Saccharomyces cerevisiae S288C: one gene and its partners. The gene in region 1 interacts genetically with each later gene. Each region holds a gene or a part of one and is shown in the gene's direction. Other genes may lie near its edges.

Region 1 (5,665 bases):
TTGGTGCTTCGGGACATACCATTGATGGTCAAGGAGCAAAATGGTGGGATGGCTTAGGTGATAGCGGTAAAGTCAAACCGAAGTTTGTAAAGTTGGCGTTGACGGGAACATCTAAGGTCACCGGATTGAATATTAAAAATGCTCCACACCAAGTCTTCAGCATCAATAAATGTTCAGATTTAACCATCAGCGACATAACAATTGATATCAGAGACGGTGATTCGGCTGGTGGTCATAATACGGATGGGTTTGATGTTGGTAGTTCTAGTAACGTCTTAATTCAAGGATGTACTGTTTATAATCAGGATGACTGTATTGCTGTGAATTCCGGTTCAACTATTAAATTTATGAACAACTACTGCTACAATGGCCATGGTATTTCTGTAGGTTCTGTTGGTGGCCGTTCTGATAATACAGTCAATGGTTTCTGGGCTGAAAATAACCATGTTATCAACTCTGACAACGGGTTGAGAATAAAAACCGTAGAAGGTGCGACAGGCACAGTCACTAATGTCAACTTTATCAGTAATAAAATTAGCGGCATAAAAAGTTATGGTATTGTTATCGAAGGCGATTATTTGAATAGTAAGACTACTGGAACTGCTACAGGTGGCGTTCCCATTTCGAATTTAGTAATGAAGGATATCACCGGGAGCGTGAACTCCACAGCGAAGAGGGTTAAAATTTTGGTGAAAAACGCTACTAACTGGCAATGGTCTGGGGTGTCAATTACCGGTGGTTCTTCCTATTCTGGATGTTCTGGAATCCCATCTGGATCTGGTGCAAGCTGTTAATCCTCTTTTAAAGTACTCATATGACTATACATACCTTCTTTTCTTTTCTTTACTATTCAATACATAACAGAACAAAGATGCAGGAAAATATTGGTATTTGTTCGGCAATTTATGCTGGGTTTTTTTGTAAATTCAGGTCTAATTATTACTGTTGATTTGTATCAAGTTGGTATCTTTTTTGCCATTTAATAATAGAGATACGCTATGCTCATCCGGATAGCAACAATGAGAGCCTAAAAGTCCTAATTGAGAAGAAAATCTCTGTTCAAGACTATAGTTTATGTTTCATTCTGGACCCTTGGGATCGTCTGAAACAGGAAGGTCAATAATTGGTAAAAAAAATGGTAAATGCGACTAAGTACTACAATTGAAACGAATGAGCGCACTTCATCTGCCTACAAAACGCTGCGGCTGAAAAAGTTACATAAAAAACCGTCCTCAATAGCGTTAATCCAGCGTACATGAGAAAGTAATGACAAAGTCTTCGGTAATATCAGTGCATCTACCAATATGACACAATTGTGAAACTTCGCTGACTCAAATAATAGCCCTGTTTTTTTGACCATTGTTACCCATCGAGCCAGTGAGAAAAAAGCCAAAATATCTTTAAGGCCTTCTCCATTTTATGTTTATCGATATTGTGTTGTCTGCAATATTGAAATTTTAAAGGCTATTTACTTTGCCTCTTGTTATAAACTAAGTCTGCCGAATTATGCAATATATAGCAAAAGCTGAAAATAGATGTAATTACATAATTCGCAGTTGTATATGAGTATCCTTAACTCGTACATTCCAGTTCATCTGTGACAAGGCACTGTTTTCCCTAATAATTATTAGGGAAACGTCCTTCAAAAATCAAAATAATTTTAGAGAGTCTCATCAACCTTCGCCATAGTTCGTGATGAAAACTTTACGGTACGTCAGACTTTAGATATTGATTTTTTTATTATTTCTCCCATCGTGAGTACAATTACCCTAGTTCGAACTATATCTTTCATTACTGGCGGAAAAAAAATTCAACGAATGTTCTTGGCTCAATATAGCTTAGTATTTATGTTTAAAGAATTTGTAATATGCGTTACTAGTAATTCCTTTGAATTTTTGAATGCTTTAACTGTGAGTTGGCGTACATGCAGAAACGGCCGTTTAAAATTTTACCGATTGCAGTGACAGAAAAGCTAGTTGAATATTTGTTTACATAAGCGATTCAGATAGACCCCTAATAATATCAAGCTAGATATGCCTGTTGGAAACTTCTCAAAACCTGCGCTAGACGTCCCACGCAATCAACTTACAGATATGTCAGTGCTAGGGAAAAGCCATAGAATGTTGAAAAAAGCGAAAAGGGTTTACTAACTTAGGCAGGTTGAAAAGCTTCTCGAAAAATAATACCTTTTGGTAAAACAACGTAAAGAAGTACTGCCATAACGTAGAATTCTGCAGTTATGAACATACTACAGGCGAAATTGCTAAAATTAATGAGGATAGTCAAAATTGGGTTATGAATCAAAGTTTTTTATAGATTTTCAGCACCGGTGTGGCTAGTAGTCGTCCATACATGACTCAAAGAAAAAAAAAATAAGTGACATAACGCGAAGTGAGGCATTATTGGGCTGCTAAAGAATTTTACGTTGGAAAAGAGGCAAGATTGTCTCATTTTCCTTCAAAATGAAGGTACTGCTGCCCCGGAGTAATAGTAATTTATTCTCAACAGAAATAGAATATTTAATTAATCAGAGTCTAACATTAAGGTCATGTGTTGATAGCAGGTGACGCGTCTGTAAAACTAATAAAGTATATAAAGCACATCCATGAGATCTTAAGACGAGAGATTTCCCCTACTCAAAGTACAAGCAGGACAGATTCAAAACGCAATCCATACGATGAACACAGATTCACACAACCTTAGTGAGCCATACAATATAGGTGGCCAAAAATACATTAATATGAAAAAAAAGGAAGATCTTGGCGTATGCCAGCCTGGCTTAACGCAAAAGGCATTCACAGTCGAAGACAAGTTCGATTACAAAGCAATTATTGAAAAAATGGAAGTATACGGACTTTGCGTGGTCAAGAATTTTATAGAGACCTCCAGATGTGATGAAATATTGAAAGAAATCGAACCGCATTTTTATAGATACGAATCATGGCAAGGCTCACCGTTTCCTAAGGAAACTACTGTGGCAACGAGATCGGTTTTACACTCATCTACAGTCTTAAAGGATGTGGTATGCGACCGTATGTTTTGTGATATCTCAAAACATTTTTTGAATGAAGAAAACTACTTTGCGGCGGGAAAGGTGATTAATAAATGCACTAGTGATATTCAACTGAACTCCGGTATAGTCTACAAGGTTGGCGCTGGTGCAAGTGACCAGGGCTACCACCGAGAAGATATTGTTCATCATACGACCCATCAAGCATGTGAACGTTTCCAGTATGGAACCGAAACCATGGTAGGGTTAGGTGTAGCTTTTACAGATATGAATAAAGAAAATGGCTCTACGCGAATGATAGTCGGTTCACATTTGTGGGGTCCGCACGATTCCTGTGGGAACTTTGACAAGAGGATGGAATTTCACGTTAATGTTGCAAAGGGAGACGCAGTTCTATTCTTAGGGAGCCTCTACCATGCAGCCAGTGCAAATCGTACGTCACAAGACAGAGTTGCTGGATATTTTTTTATGACAAAGAGCTACTTGAAACCAGAGGAAAATCTTCACTTAGGGACTGATTTGCGAGTGTTTAAGGGTTTACCATTGGAAGCCTTGCAACTGTTGGGGCTCGGAATTAGTGAGCCATTTTGTGGTCACATAGATTATAAGAGTCCAGGACATCTTATCAGTTCTAGTTTGTTTGAAAATGATATCGAAAAGGGGTACTATGGAGAGACAATAAGGGTGAATTATGGGTCCACGCAATAATCATTGTAACGGGAAAACATATCACCACAAGTTCGCTGTAAATGTGCAGACTGGGTGGCATGCTTCAAAAGCCTATTCTAGTACTTCCCTGCTGTTTTCGCACGGAACCGGTAAGAAAACTTCGTACCGAAATCGAACAACTTTCATTACTTGCACTTGTACAAATTTAAGGGAGCGGGATTTTAAAACATATAAAAGGATAGTGGCACAACTAGGAATAAGGTGTATTACCCAATATGATTCTCACCTTCGGTTGGGGACTGGTTAATTAATTGAATAGCTTCATAACCCACCGCCGCAAAATGTGCTCTTCGAAATGTCTGAGGCTTTTGGACCTGCACCTGAACCACCTACCGAGTTAGGACGTCTTAGGGTCCTATCTAAAACAGCTGGTATAAGAGTTTCTCCACTAATCCTGGGAGGTATGTCTATTGGTGACGCCTGGTCTGGATTCATGGGATCAATGGACAAAGAACAAGCTTTTGAGCTACTTGATGCTTTTTACCAAGCAGGCGGAAATTTCATTGATACTGCAAATAATTATTAGTATGAGCAGTCAGAGACTTGGATCGGTGAATGGATGGCATCAAGAAAACTGCGTGACCAGATTGTAATTGCCACTAAATTTACCACGGATTATAAGGGGTATGATGTAGGCAAGGGGAAGAGTGCCAATTTCTGTGGGAATCACAAGCGCAGTTTGCATGTAAGTGTGAGAGATTCCCTTCGTAAGTTGCAAACTGATTGGATTGATATTCTTTACGTTCACTGGTGGGATTATATGAGCTCCATTGAGGAAGTTATGGATAGTTTGCACATTCTTGTGCAGCAGGGCAAAGTACTCTATCTAGGTGTGTCTGATACTCCTGCCTGGGTTGTTTCTGCAGCAAATTACTACGCCACATCTCATGGTAAAACTCCCTTTAGTATCTATCAAGGTAAATGGAATGTATTGAACAGGGACTTTGAACGTGATATCATTCCAATGGCTAGGCATTTTGGTATGGCTCTTGCTCCATGGGATGTTATGGGAGGCGGGAGATTTCAGAGTAAAAAGGCAGTGGAAGAGCGGAAGAAGAAAGGAGAAGGCTTGCGTACCTTTTTTGGTACTTCGGAACAGACGGATATGGAGGTTAAAATCAGCGAAGCATTGTTAAAAGTTGCGGAAGAACATGGCACTGAGTCTGTCACTGCTATTGCCATAGCTTATGTTCGGTCTAAAGCGAAACATGTTTTCCCATTAGTGGGAGGAAGAAAGATCGAACATCTCAAACAGAACATTGAGGCTTTGAGCATTAAATTAACACCAGAACAAATAAAGTACTTAGAAAGTATTGTTCCTTTTGATGTCGGATTTCCCACTAATTTTATTGGAGATGACCCAGCTGTTACCAAGAAACCTTCATTTCTCACCGAAATGTCTGCCAAGATTAGCTTCGAAGATTAGTCAAATCAATAGTTTTAGTATGTTCATAATGTGAAAAATGTTTATATATACGCTTACACACACAGTTTGATGATTCAAATACTTAGAGAAAACTTTGCCGCTCATGCATTTGCAGGCATCTTTTATTGTGTTGATTTTGCGAGGAAATAAAGTGTTAAGATAAAGGGAGTTCATTTAAAGCTTGTATACATGCTCTGATACATAAATATGTATGTCTATATATCGAGTAGGAAACAACAGCTAATGTGAAATCATAAACAAGTCGTAGAGGAAGGCTGGGCTGAACGAGTGACGAAGCACGTTTAAGCTGGAAGAGCCAATCTCTTGAAAGTACCTTCCTGTCTGCATTTTTCTTGATGAATAGCCATCAATCTTTGAGCTTCCAAAGGATCAGAAACCTCTTCTGGTTCTGGCCAGGACAAGTATTCATTAGTGTAGTTCGAGACATAGTCTGGTGGCAGAATGGCTAATCTCTTACCGTAACCGGTAACCTTCTTCCA
Region 2 (5,568 bases), on another chromosome or scaffold:
TCTACAGTATTCGTCTAAATCAAGGGATTTTATTTCCTAATTGAAAGTGATCAATTGTTTAGGTGCATACTTGGTTTTTACTCTCCGAGGTTTTCTTTAGTAATACCAAATTCAGTGTCCTCCCAAAATAGATTGAGAAGGTCTGGTAGAGATTCTGCAGTCACAAAATTTTCGAGGCTACAAAAGTCCATGCCAACTGAAACACTGGTGCTGCTGGGTGACAACTTCTCATAACAAGCACCTTCTTGATTTTTTCCCTGTACGCCAATAACTCTATTATTCACCAAATCACCCATTTCCCTATCAAGAATGCTGAGAATTTCTTTACGGAAGCTTGATTCTTTGTGTTCGCCTATAATATTCCTGTACCAGATACATTCAATGTCCAACGCAGCTTGACCAGCATCTGAGCAAGCCTGGCCATATTTTTTCAATTCACAAAACAGCGATTCCTTAGCCATTTTCTGTGAACGTGTGTACATCTGACAGCAGATGCGTGTTAGGATGAAAGAAACCGCTGTTCCATTTTCCAACTTTTTAGAGAAGGCGTTGTTGCCCTTGAAATTAACATTGCCAGAGCTCACAAATAAGTCATTATATGAGGCTATCATGCGGCACATCAAGGATAAATAACATATCGAGTTCCTTCTAGGGGTCTCGATAAAATTCAAGGTAATATTCATCAAGATGGCATATATGAACCACGAACAACGGAAAATATAGAACGTATCTTCGTGCTTGAGAACATCCGTCAAAATATCTACAGATGCTTCAAAGGTTTGAAGCCTGATGTCCTTTACGCAGGAATCAAGTTCAATTCTCTCTCTTTCTTGTAGAAGATTTTGTATCCTTAAAATTAAACTCTCCATTCCCTGAAAACAACAAACCTTTGCAAATCCGAAATGGGTGTATAGTTCAAATACATTACTATTTTCAGAATATTGTTTGAGGAAAGGGATTAGTTTGTCTTGTATGCACTGAAAAATTTTACATATTTTTGAAAACTCTACCATAAGCTGTCGTGCGGTTCCATTTAGGTCTTTAGCGTTAGGAGTTGCAAATAATCTGTAGTCTGTAAAGTGTCGATTATAAAGCAAACCAGAGAATACCGCTGTAATAATTTTCGTTAATAGAATATAGCCGAAAGAGATACAAATATCAAACTTACTTGGGTCGAGCTCCACCAAGTTTATTAAAGTAAAACAGTCCATCGAATCATCTACCCCTAATCCAACCACATCCTTGGGAAAGAGACACGAAGTCATTTCATGTGGTATCAATGGCTGCTTACCGGTGACCAATGAATACCATCTATCCCACCAGTAGCAGTCCCACCATAACTTACGATATTCTTCGGCAGTGTCCTCATCCTGACCAATATAATATTCCCAACGATTCAAACCAGCATCCAAACTTCGCCTGGACATCGTGGAAATAATTCTTCCCAGCACAAAAGGATCGTCTATCCAATATCTGTGTTTCATCAACGAGACTAAGCCCTTTAAAATAGTCAAGTCGTACATTGTCGAAAATAGGGATCTTTCAAAATATTCAAGACAGAGACAAAAAATCAACTCATCTTGCTCAAGAAAATATTTCAAAGGAAGTAATTTTTTGGAACTTTTACGATCCAACGCCTTGTGGTGCTGTTCCATCAATTGTACTCCGTACATAAACCAGTCTGTTGGTTTATTGAATTTGATTGTTTGGTTAATGTTTGTATTTCCTTTGATTTCATTCGATATATTTGACATAATGTGTTGAATAAGTACGTCGTTCCCACATGAAAGTCCGTTTAGCTTTGAATAATACTCTAAAGGAGATATCGAAGTTACTTTAGGACCAGCATGGCTAGCAGAGCTAGCGTCAAGAAACTTCAAAAATAAATAGATAGTTTCTCTCGTCTCCCTATCATTCGAACATGAAATCAATTTTTTAGTTATCCAGCTAATACCCGTAGAGGCAAAATATAGCAACGGTGAATAGACCCCAAAGTACATACTGACATTTTGTGCAGTATTGCTTTCAAAAGCGTTGGAGAACCTATTCAAAGATTTTGACTGTTTCCCGATAATTTCTGTTTCTATCGATTTCAGGCCACCATACGAGCTAATTTCCTTACTGTCCAGATTGAGGTAAAGCTGAGGTTGTATTTTTTCAAGCTCAGTGCAAATGTTTGCTAGGCCTTTCTGTAAAGAGGCCGGTGCGCTTGGAGGTAACTGTGCCTTCAATTTTGCTATGCTGCACTTAGCATTATCCAAATCATTACTGAGACTACCAGTATAATTGAAAAAAGCCTCAATCGGTTCACGAAATTGATTTCTATACGTACATTTTGATTGAGACCCAATACACCCAAAACATGGCTTCTTACTGTTGCACTTAATCTTTTTCCTATGGCATCTATCACAGGCCTTGGTTACCCTAGATTTTTGTTTGGCTAATCCTCTTTTTGCTGCCATCTCAATAAAATATAAAAAGCTAAAAAGCTTAAAATTTAAACAACAATAATGTCGTTAACCTAATGCGCTTATTCGATGAGATTTGGATTTGCTTCTAGCTTATAGAAAGGAAGAAAGTTTTTACTGTTCAAAGCACACATCAAAAAAATTATTACCCAGCCTTTCAAACAAACAAAGTACTCCAAAATAGTTATTTTTGAATACTAGCAAACCAACCAATCACTTTTTTTGTTGGATTATCAAATAAGCCTAATCAGGTCTTTCATGCAGCGTTGAATCCAGGTTACTTCACCGCACCTTAAGTTAAGATCAGGACAGTATCGGCTGTTCCTGAGAAACCAGCCATATTCAAGTTTCGGTATCCTAACCGTTGATATTGTCCTTATTTGTCGACCTTCAAATATTGTGGCTGCCATGTATATGAGCGCCTCGATCTATTATGACTAAGCCATGCGATTGTCGTGTAATGGTATCGCGCATACTGAAGGTTTCAGCCCTGTTTTGATGTGCCGCGGCAAAGTGGTTTTTCTCCATACAGGATGAAGTGTTTCTTTCCCCATGCCGCGGCAAGCTCATCCTAAATAAATCTCAACTTTTCAACTAAATGTACTTCAATTGAACAAATGCCAAGACCTCAAATGAATCAGTATAAAAGCACCTACCGAATCAATTGTGGGATGTATAGTCTCTTGCCTCAAAATGTCCAGGATAGTAGGTTAATAGTGTCCAATTACATAGCTACTTAATCTTTTATTGTCCATCAACGTTCCAAAATGTCCACAACTGATTCGGGGTTCGTACTTTACCACTATACGCCAAGTAAAGCGGCTGCAATCGTATTTGTCGTACTCTTCATTATAATGACAGTCATTTTTGCCGTTCAAACTTTATATGCTGCGAGAAAATCTTCTAAGGCATTGAAAAATAATCCATTTGAGTCATCTGATGATAAGGTCGATAGTCTTGAGGATGCTGAATACAAGCAACTAAAAATCACACCCACAGTTTTTGCGTTTATACCTTTCTTCACTGGCTGCATCATGGAAGCTGTCGGGTATATCGGGAGGGCTCTATCCAGTTCCAATCCTGAAAGAACGACCCCATATATTATCCAATCTGTTCTTTTATTAGTCGCTCCAGCACTAATAGCTGCGACGATTTATATGATTTTTGGAAGGTTATTACATGTTATGAGGTGCCAATCTTTAATTTTGATTTCTGCACGCTTTGGTACGACTTTCTTTGTTGTGGGAGATGTGTTTAGTTTCTTTTTACAAGCTGCAGGTGGCGGACTAATGTCTAAGGCAGGATCAACGAAGACTGGTTCAGGACTCATAACTGCGGGTCTTTTTGTACAGGTAATTTTTTTTGGATTTTTCATTATCAATGAGATAAGATTCACAGTAAATGTTAAAAGGAGATGCTTATTTTACGAAGATATTTCCAGAAAGTGGATCTTTGTGAATGCTACCCTATTATTAAGCAGTATGTTGATCCTACTACGTTCAATTGTCCGAATAGTTGAATTTATTCAGGGATTCAATGGCTATATAATCTCTCATGAGTATTTCATATATGTCTTCGATGCTGTACCTATGTTATTGGTAATAATAGCATTTAGTGTGGGATCCTTTTTCGGCAACGTATTCGATGTTATAAAGGAGTGTCAAACGTTAAGTAATTAGATAATATATATCAAATTTTGATTTCTATGTAGTGCAGCCAATCAATTTTAACTTCATTTAGAATAAAAATCTTTCCTCTTCTGCTTTGAAGCCATTAAAACGAAAGATCTAGGCGGTACTATTTCTCCATTCTCAGCCGTACAATCATGCACCGAAAAGGAAGGCAATGTATTGAATTTTTCGCCGAGAACAAAATATTTGTAAACACTCGTTAGATTCCGCATTGTTAAGTGGCATCACAAACACAATCAAGATTAAGAGAAAAGTAGCTCGTTGAGAAAGATTCTTGTACATATCGGGATACTTCTGAAGTCTAATAAAACATTCAAATAAAGACAGACTGGATAAAAGATTCCTGAACGTCAAAACTTATATCTTCTTGTCCCTTGGAATGTCTCTCTGCTCTTATATTGTTGCTGTTGAGTGGTCTCATGACAATAAAGTATGTCACTGAATTGAAGACTACTGAACCATGGCAGCTAATACAATCACGCCCATCCAGAAAAGTGTCGTGTGGCGAAAATTTTTGTTCACGTTGAACAGAGGGTACTGATTTCAAAGTGCTCTTAAGTCGTAATGACGGCCCTAATAATGATTTCCAGACCCTTTGGAAGGAGTTTCTTCTTTAAGTACTGCCCTCCCTGATCTATATTTGTAGGAAATTTTTAAAGTACCTAGCCTTTTTCTCAGTCACGGCTGTAGAGTGTACACAGAGCCTTTGAAGTTTGGTGCTTTACGAAATTAAAGCAGTCACCTATGTCATTTAGCTACAAAAAACTCGTCTAGAAGAACAGCACATCGGCCTCCTATATCGGTACTCATCACAGAATCAATGTATAGTATGTGTCAAGGAGAATGTATTAACGCCAAATTAAAGGCACACTAACATGTAATGAAGCTGGTGTTATATATTTTTTTTCAATTGACGTGAAACTCAGTGTCTTAGAATTATTTTTTAGTTCAAAGAGTACGGCTATTGAAGTGAGCCACAATGTCATTTAGCTTTATAAACACAAGAGTAAAAGTGCGCTTGTCTTCGCCTCAATGAATTAATGGAGCAGAAAATTTCTTAACGGTCAGCAATACTTGAAAATAATTTTAGCAGTTCAAACTTTCGTTGTTATCTTGATACTGAACTCTCCTTAGTATTCATATAAATGATTCTATTTAATAGTCCCCTCCGCAGGGTAATTTTAAGGCCTTCTTTTATTTCCAAAGGAATTAGTATATAGCATATAATATAATTTATCACCAAATCAACAGAAAATATCATAATAGCATTAACCCGCAAGAATTTCTTTAAATGAACACAGTTTTCTGCAGTGTTAAATAGAAATTTCTAATTATCCTGCATCCAAGACATGAAATCGGTATATTCAAGGAAATTTATTAGCACTGAAATGCATATATTCATTTTTGTT
Region 3 (5,620 bases), on another chromosome or scaffold:
ATATCCAATATCTATTCCAAAACCTTAAGAAGAACAATTCTAAAAGACTCAACAACGTCACTTCAAAAAAATGCGTCAACATCCTTTGAAGAAAATCCTGACTCTTCTGAAGCGGAACCTAGAAAAAAGTCTAGTAGGAAAGACAACTCTGTGAACAATGTTATGTCAATTGACGCTTTCAAGGTTTCTGAAGCTATGAACACTTTTTATCTGGCATGTGAAGCAGTTTTCATGACAGTTACGGCCCTAATGATACTATATTCCCTACTGGGATGGTCCGCCTTTGCTGGTACCTTTGCTCTTCTTGCCATGATTCCTTTGAATTTTTGGTGTGCAACTTTTTACGGGAACTATCAGGCCGATCAATTAATCCTAACTGACAAGCGTACCTCTGGGATTAGTGAGGCTCTGAACTCAATACGTGTAATAAAGCTACTGGCATGGGAAAATCTGTTTTATCAAAAGATTATAAACGTAAGAGATGGGGAAATAAGACTCCTTAAAAAGAAGGCAACAATTTTCTTTTTGAACCATCTCATTTGGTTCTTTGGGCCCACTTTGGTCTCTGCAATAACATTCTCAGTGTTTATTAAATTCCAAAATCAGACACTTACTCCTACAATAGCATTTACAGCTCTTTCTTTATTTGCAATATTGAGGACACCCATGGACCAAATTGCTTCGACTGTCAGCCTTTTGATACAGTCTTTTATTTCTCTTGAAAGAATCCAGGATTATCTTAATGAATCAGAAACAAGAAAATATGAGATTTTGGAACAAAGCAATACTAAATTTGGCTTTGAAGATGCAAGCATGGAATGGGAAGCTGCTGAAACAAGTTTTAAACTTAAGAACATTTCTATTGATTTTAAGCTGAATAGTCTCAACGCAATTATAGGTCCGACTGGGTCAGGAAAGTCTTCGCTATTACTTGGACTATTGGGAGAATTGAACCTTCTTTCTGGAAAAATATACGTACCTACAGTTGAATCCCGCGACGACTTAGAGATTGGTAAAGACGGAATGACGAATTCAATGGCATATTGTTCTCAAACTCCGTGGTTGATTAGTGGAACAATTAAAGATAACGTTGTTTTTGGAGAAATCTTCAACAAACAAAAATTTGATGATGTAATGAAATCCTGTTGTCTTGACAAAGATATCAAAGCAATGACAGCTGGCATAAGAACAGACGTGGGTGATGGAGGATTTTCCTTATCTGGCGGACAGCAGCAAAGGATTGCTTTAGCCAGAGCAATTTACTCCTCTTCCAGGTATTTGATCCTTGATGATTGCTTGAGTGCAGTAGATCCTGAAACTGCACTTTATATATATGAAGAGTGTTTATGCGGCCCCATGATGAAAGGAAGGACCTGCATCATTACGAGTCATAATATTTCTTTAGTTACGAAACGGGCTGACTGGCTTGTGATTTTAGATCGTGGCGAGGTGAAATCACAGGGTAAACCATCGGACCTCATTAAATCTAATGAGTTTTTGAGGGAAAGCATAAACAATGATTCAAAAAATACAACTCACAATCAAATTGACTTGAAAAGATCAACAACATCAAAGAAAACTAAGAATGGAGATCCCGAGGGAGGGAACTCGCAAGACGAAGTGTGTGCTGAAGTTGAAAATTTTGAGGAAACAAAAATGGAAGGATCAGTTAAATTTTCAGCTTACAAATGGTTAGCAGACTATTTCGGGGGACTGGGAGTTGTTTTTGTTTTCACCTCGTCCTCCATCCTTATTCATGGAATCACACTGTCTCAGGGCTTTTGGCTCAGATACTGGCTGGACACTGGATCTTCAGGGAGTAAGTCTACCTGGCTTTATAGAATAGTTGAGGGTCACTCTAACATCTATTTCTTACTGACTTATATTATCATAGGTCTTGTTTCTTCATTTTTAACTTCTGGTAAAGTTTGGATAGCAATAATTTCAGGTACCAACGTCACCAAGAAAATATTTGCGAAGCTTCTATCCAGTATCTTATATGCCAAGTTACGTTTTCATAATGTCACGCCGACTGGAAGAATAATGAACAGATTTAGCAAGGATATGGATATTATTGATCAACAATTGATCCCTAATTTCGAAGGACTCTCTTATAGCGTCGTTGTTTGTCTGTGGATTATACTTTTAATTGGATATGTTACTCCTCAATTTCTGTTATTTGCTATTCCTTTATGCGCTCTTTATTATACCGTATGTACGTTATATCTTCGTGCATCTAGAGAGTTGAAGAGAATAGATAACATCAATATCTCTCCAATACACCAGTTATTCGCTGAAGCCATCAAAGGAGTAACTACAATTAGAGCATTAGCAGATGAGCGTAGGTTTATCACTCAATCTTTGGTTGCAATTGACAGAAGTAATGCTCCATTTTTTTATCTCAATATGGCCACCGAGTGGATCACATATAGAGTGGATATAATTGGGACACTTGTTCTTTTTAGTTCTTCTGTAATGATCATAATGAAGGCCTCATAGTTGGATGCGGGGCTAGCGGGGATACTGTTATCGAATGCCTTTTCCTTTACTGAAACTGCTCAATGGATCATAAAAGTATTTTCAAGCGTTGAACTTTTGATGAGTTCAGTAGAGAGAATAAAAGAATATACAGATATACCTTCCGAATCAAACGGCTACATATCACCTCCAGCTAATTGGCCTCAAACAGGAGATGTTGAACTAAAAAACTTATCATTGCGCTATTCTCCTCATTCCTCTAAGGCACTAGATAATGTATCATTCAAGGTAAAAGCAGGAACAAAAGTTGGTATTGTTGGTAGAACAGGGGCTGGGAAATCTTCTATTATAGCGGCTATTTACCGGCTTTCAGACTGGGAAAACGGTACGATTACTATTGATAACAAAGACATAAAACATATCCCTTTAGAGCGTTTAAGAAATTCTATAAGCTGCATCCCACAGGATCCTACTTTATTTGATGGAACTGTTCGATCTAATTTAGATCCTTTCGATCGGTATTCTGATGTACAAATTTATGGCGTACTATCCAAAGTGGGATTAATTGAAGAATGCGATGAATTGTGCTTGATTTTTGAGCAAGAGCAGCCTAATTTTTCTAGTCATAAACTAAGAAATAGATTCATTGATTTGAATACTGTTGTGAAATCAGGTGGTTCAAACTTATCTCAAGGGCAAAGACAACTTTTGTGCTTGGCACGATCCATGCTTGGTGCACGTAATATAATGCTAATTGACGAAGCAACCGCCTCAATAGATTATATTTCTGATGCTAAAATTCAGAAAACTATAAGAGAAACAATGAAAAATACAACAATTTTGACTATTGCTCATCGATTAAGGTCAGTAATAGATTATGACAAAATTCTGGTGATGGAAATGGGCAGAGTCAAGGAGTATGATCATCCATACACTCTAATATCTGATCGAAATACCATTTTTTACCGCCTCTGTAGGCAGAGTGGCGAGTTCGAAAACCTTTTCGAGTTGGCTAAAGTCTCATTCGATAATAAAAGATAAGACAACTAGAATTTCCTATTTTTATTCATTCCAGTTCTAGCTACGAAGTATACGATCTGCTTACGTCATATATTTGTGTGTAATTAGAAGGCATTCAGGAAGTCGCTTTTAACTTTTCAGGGCTATATGTCCTAATCCACTACTTTTTTTGAGAACTTTAAGAAATAACTCCTTTGAACCTGTCTGTGCCAAACAAAATTTTGCTGGTACATTTTATGGTATATAAACAAGCTACGTTATTATTACTTTTTTTTGATAGTTTTACTTATACTAGAAAATAATATTATATCATCACAAAAGAAACTCTCTCGTTAAGAATCCCGAATATTCAGCAGGAGCAAAAAAAAAATACCATAATTTAAATGCTTATTCAGTACTTAGCTGCTGATTTTATCGCAAGTATACTATTGGAGAGTACCGTGGTTCATATCGTGCTATTTTTATCTATATTTAAATTTATAGAAGTTTATCGTAGTATACTATGTAATTCTCTGCCGTATTGGCGGCAAAGACAAAAGCACTGACAGTAAACAGTTTTTCTGATGAGAATTTATGTCGAGGAACAAACGAAAATTTTGCTGGCCAAATTTGCTTACGCCTTTAATGTGATTGCGGTTGAGGTCTGTTATTACGCAGCTGCTATCATGTGTCTATTTGAGATTCTCTTTACAGGTTATCGCTGCATTTTTGTCAAGAAAAGAAAAGAAGACAACCTTTTTCTTGCACTGCGATGAGTATATTCAGGCTCGCGAATTTTCCAGATTTCTTACTAAAGACACATCTTTGAACGCACCAGCATGAATTTTATGAACTACTGATCCATATATTAATAGGTTTTAAGTACATATAGAATACTTAAGAAATTACATTCCATTGCGATACACCTATTTGATTCTGATTGTGTTGAAGTCTGTATAAAAGGCGAAAAAAAATAAAATGAAAATAAGAAAATAACTGCGCTACTTGTCTTCTAAATTATCTTCTGGTGTATCGTCCTTTTTTGGTATGATTAATTTCTTATTGGATGAAAAACTACAAAACAAAAATCCTAAGGCATAAAACCCTAGATCCATCCAAAATACGTTCTTAATGGAGTCGCTTAAAATGTTTCCAATAGTCGAATGAGAACCGTCGTAGTTTTGAAGACGATACAAAATCATGTCATCAACCGTTTTTCCTTCGTAAGGCTCTAGATGAGCTCGTGATACTTTATTGTGAAAGGAGGCGGAAAAAACAGTGGTTGAAAGCACACCACCAAGAGTTGTACCTAATGACTTCATGAATGTATTGAAAGCTGTTACTTCAATAAAGTCCATAGCAGCTTCTGGACGATCTTTGGTAATTTGAAGCTGTGCACTCATGAGCGATGCTTGTAGAGCAAATCCAAGGGAAAACCCCGGTAATAGCAAAACACCAATTTGAGTTGACTTCGTGGACGTATTTGTCATAAGTGTCATAAGCCCTGCTCCAATTACCCCAAGAACGCCTCCAAATATTAAGAGTGGTTTAACTAAACCGAGCTTTTTGGTAATCACACCACTTGCAATGGCCGCAATAACGTTGGTAATAACGATTGGTATCAAGTGAAGACCGGCTTTCCATGCACTCGACGCAAATATAAGTTGGAAAAACTGGACAGAGTATATCATTTGCCCATTGTAACCGGTACATAATAGAAATGTTACCATGTTTACTATTATTATGGCTGGTTTTGCTACCAATCTTCTTAGAAGGAGAGGCCTGTAGGATATATTATCAGGTTCCGGGTTGAATTTATCGAATAGGAAGAAATCGTACACCAATGAAAAAATAAAAAGTAAGACACCCAAAACCAAATATGTGATGACTTGGCCAGAGTTCCAACTATATTTATTACCACCAAAGGTTAGCCCCAGTAGGAAAAGGACCAGCCCTGCAGAGCAGAGGGCAAAACCAAAGAAGTCAAACTTGAAGATTATGCCATTCATAAGTCTTTTAAAATTAACTTGGTGTCTGAACTTACTAAAAGTAAAGCTCGAGATTGTTCCTATAGCATCTTTAATTTGTTGAAGTATACCCTTATTCTCGGCCTTATAGGTGAGTAAAAACATAATAATGGCAA

The links.
Region 2: mutations in AAD10 (region 1) and PUG1 together harm fitness more than expected from each alone (negative genetic interaction), as found in Saccharomyces cerevisiae (one large-scale study listed by BioGRID).
Region 3: mutations in AAD10 (region 1) and YKR104W together harm fitness more than expected from each alone (negative genetic interaction), as found in Saccharomyces cerevisiae (one large-scale study listed by BioGRID).

Annotation. Positions count from the first base shown.
Region 1 is NC_001142.9:723,107-728,771, forward strand, and holds AAD10 (putative aryl-alcohol dehydrogenase), read left to right. Parts: upstream 1-4,298; coding exon 4,299-5,165; downstream 5,166-5,665. Other genes in the region: PGU1 (endo-polygalacturonase), read left to right, coding at 1-794; YJR154W (uncharacterized protein), read left to right, coding at 2,678-3,718; THI11 (4-amino-5-hydroxymethyl-2-methylpyrimidine phosphate synthase), read right to left, coding at 5,468-5,665.
Region 2 is NC_001137.3:556,219-561,786, forward strand, and holds PUG1 (Pug1p), read left to right. Parts: upstream 1-3,235; coding exon 3,236-4,147; downstream 4,148-5,568. Other genes in the region: TOG1 (Tog1p), read right to left, coding at 78-2,462; YER186C (uncharacterized protein), read right to left, coding at 5,487-5,568. UniProt on the Saccharomyces cerevisiae protein: Involved in inducible protoporphyrin IX influx and heme efflux.
Region 3 is NC_001143.9:654,238-659,857, forward strand, and holds YKR104W (uncharacterized protein), read left to right. Parts: upstream 1-2,598; coding exon 2,599-3,519; downstream 3,520-5,620. Other genes in the region: putative multidrug transporter NFT1, read left to right, coding at 1-2,499; VBA5 (basic amino acid transporter), read right to left, coding at 4,479-5,620.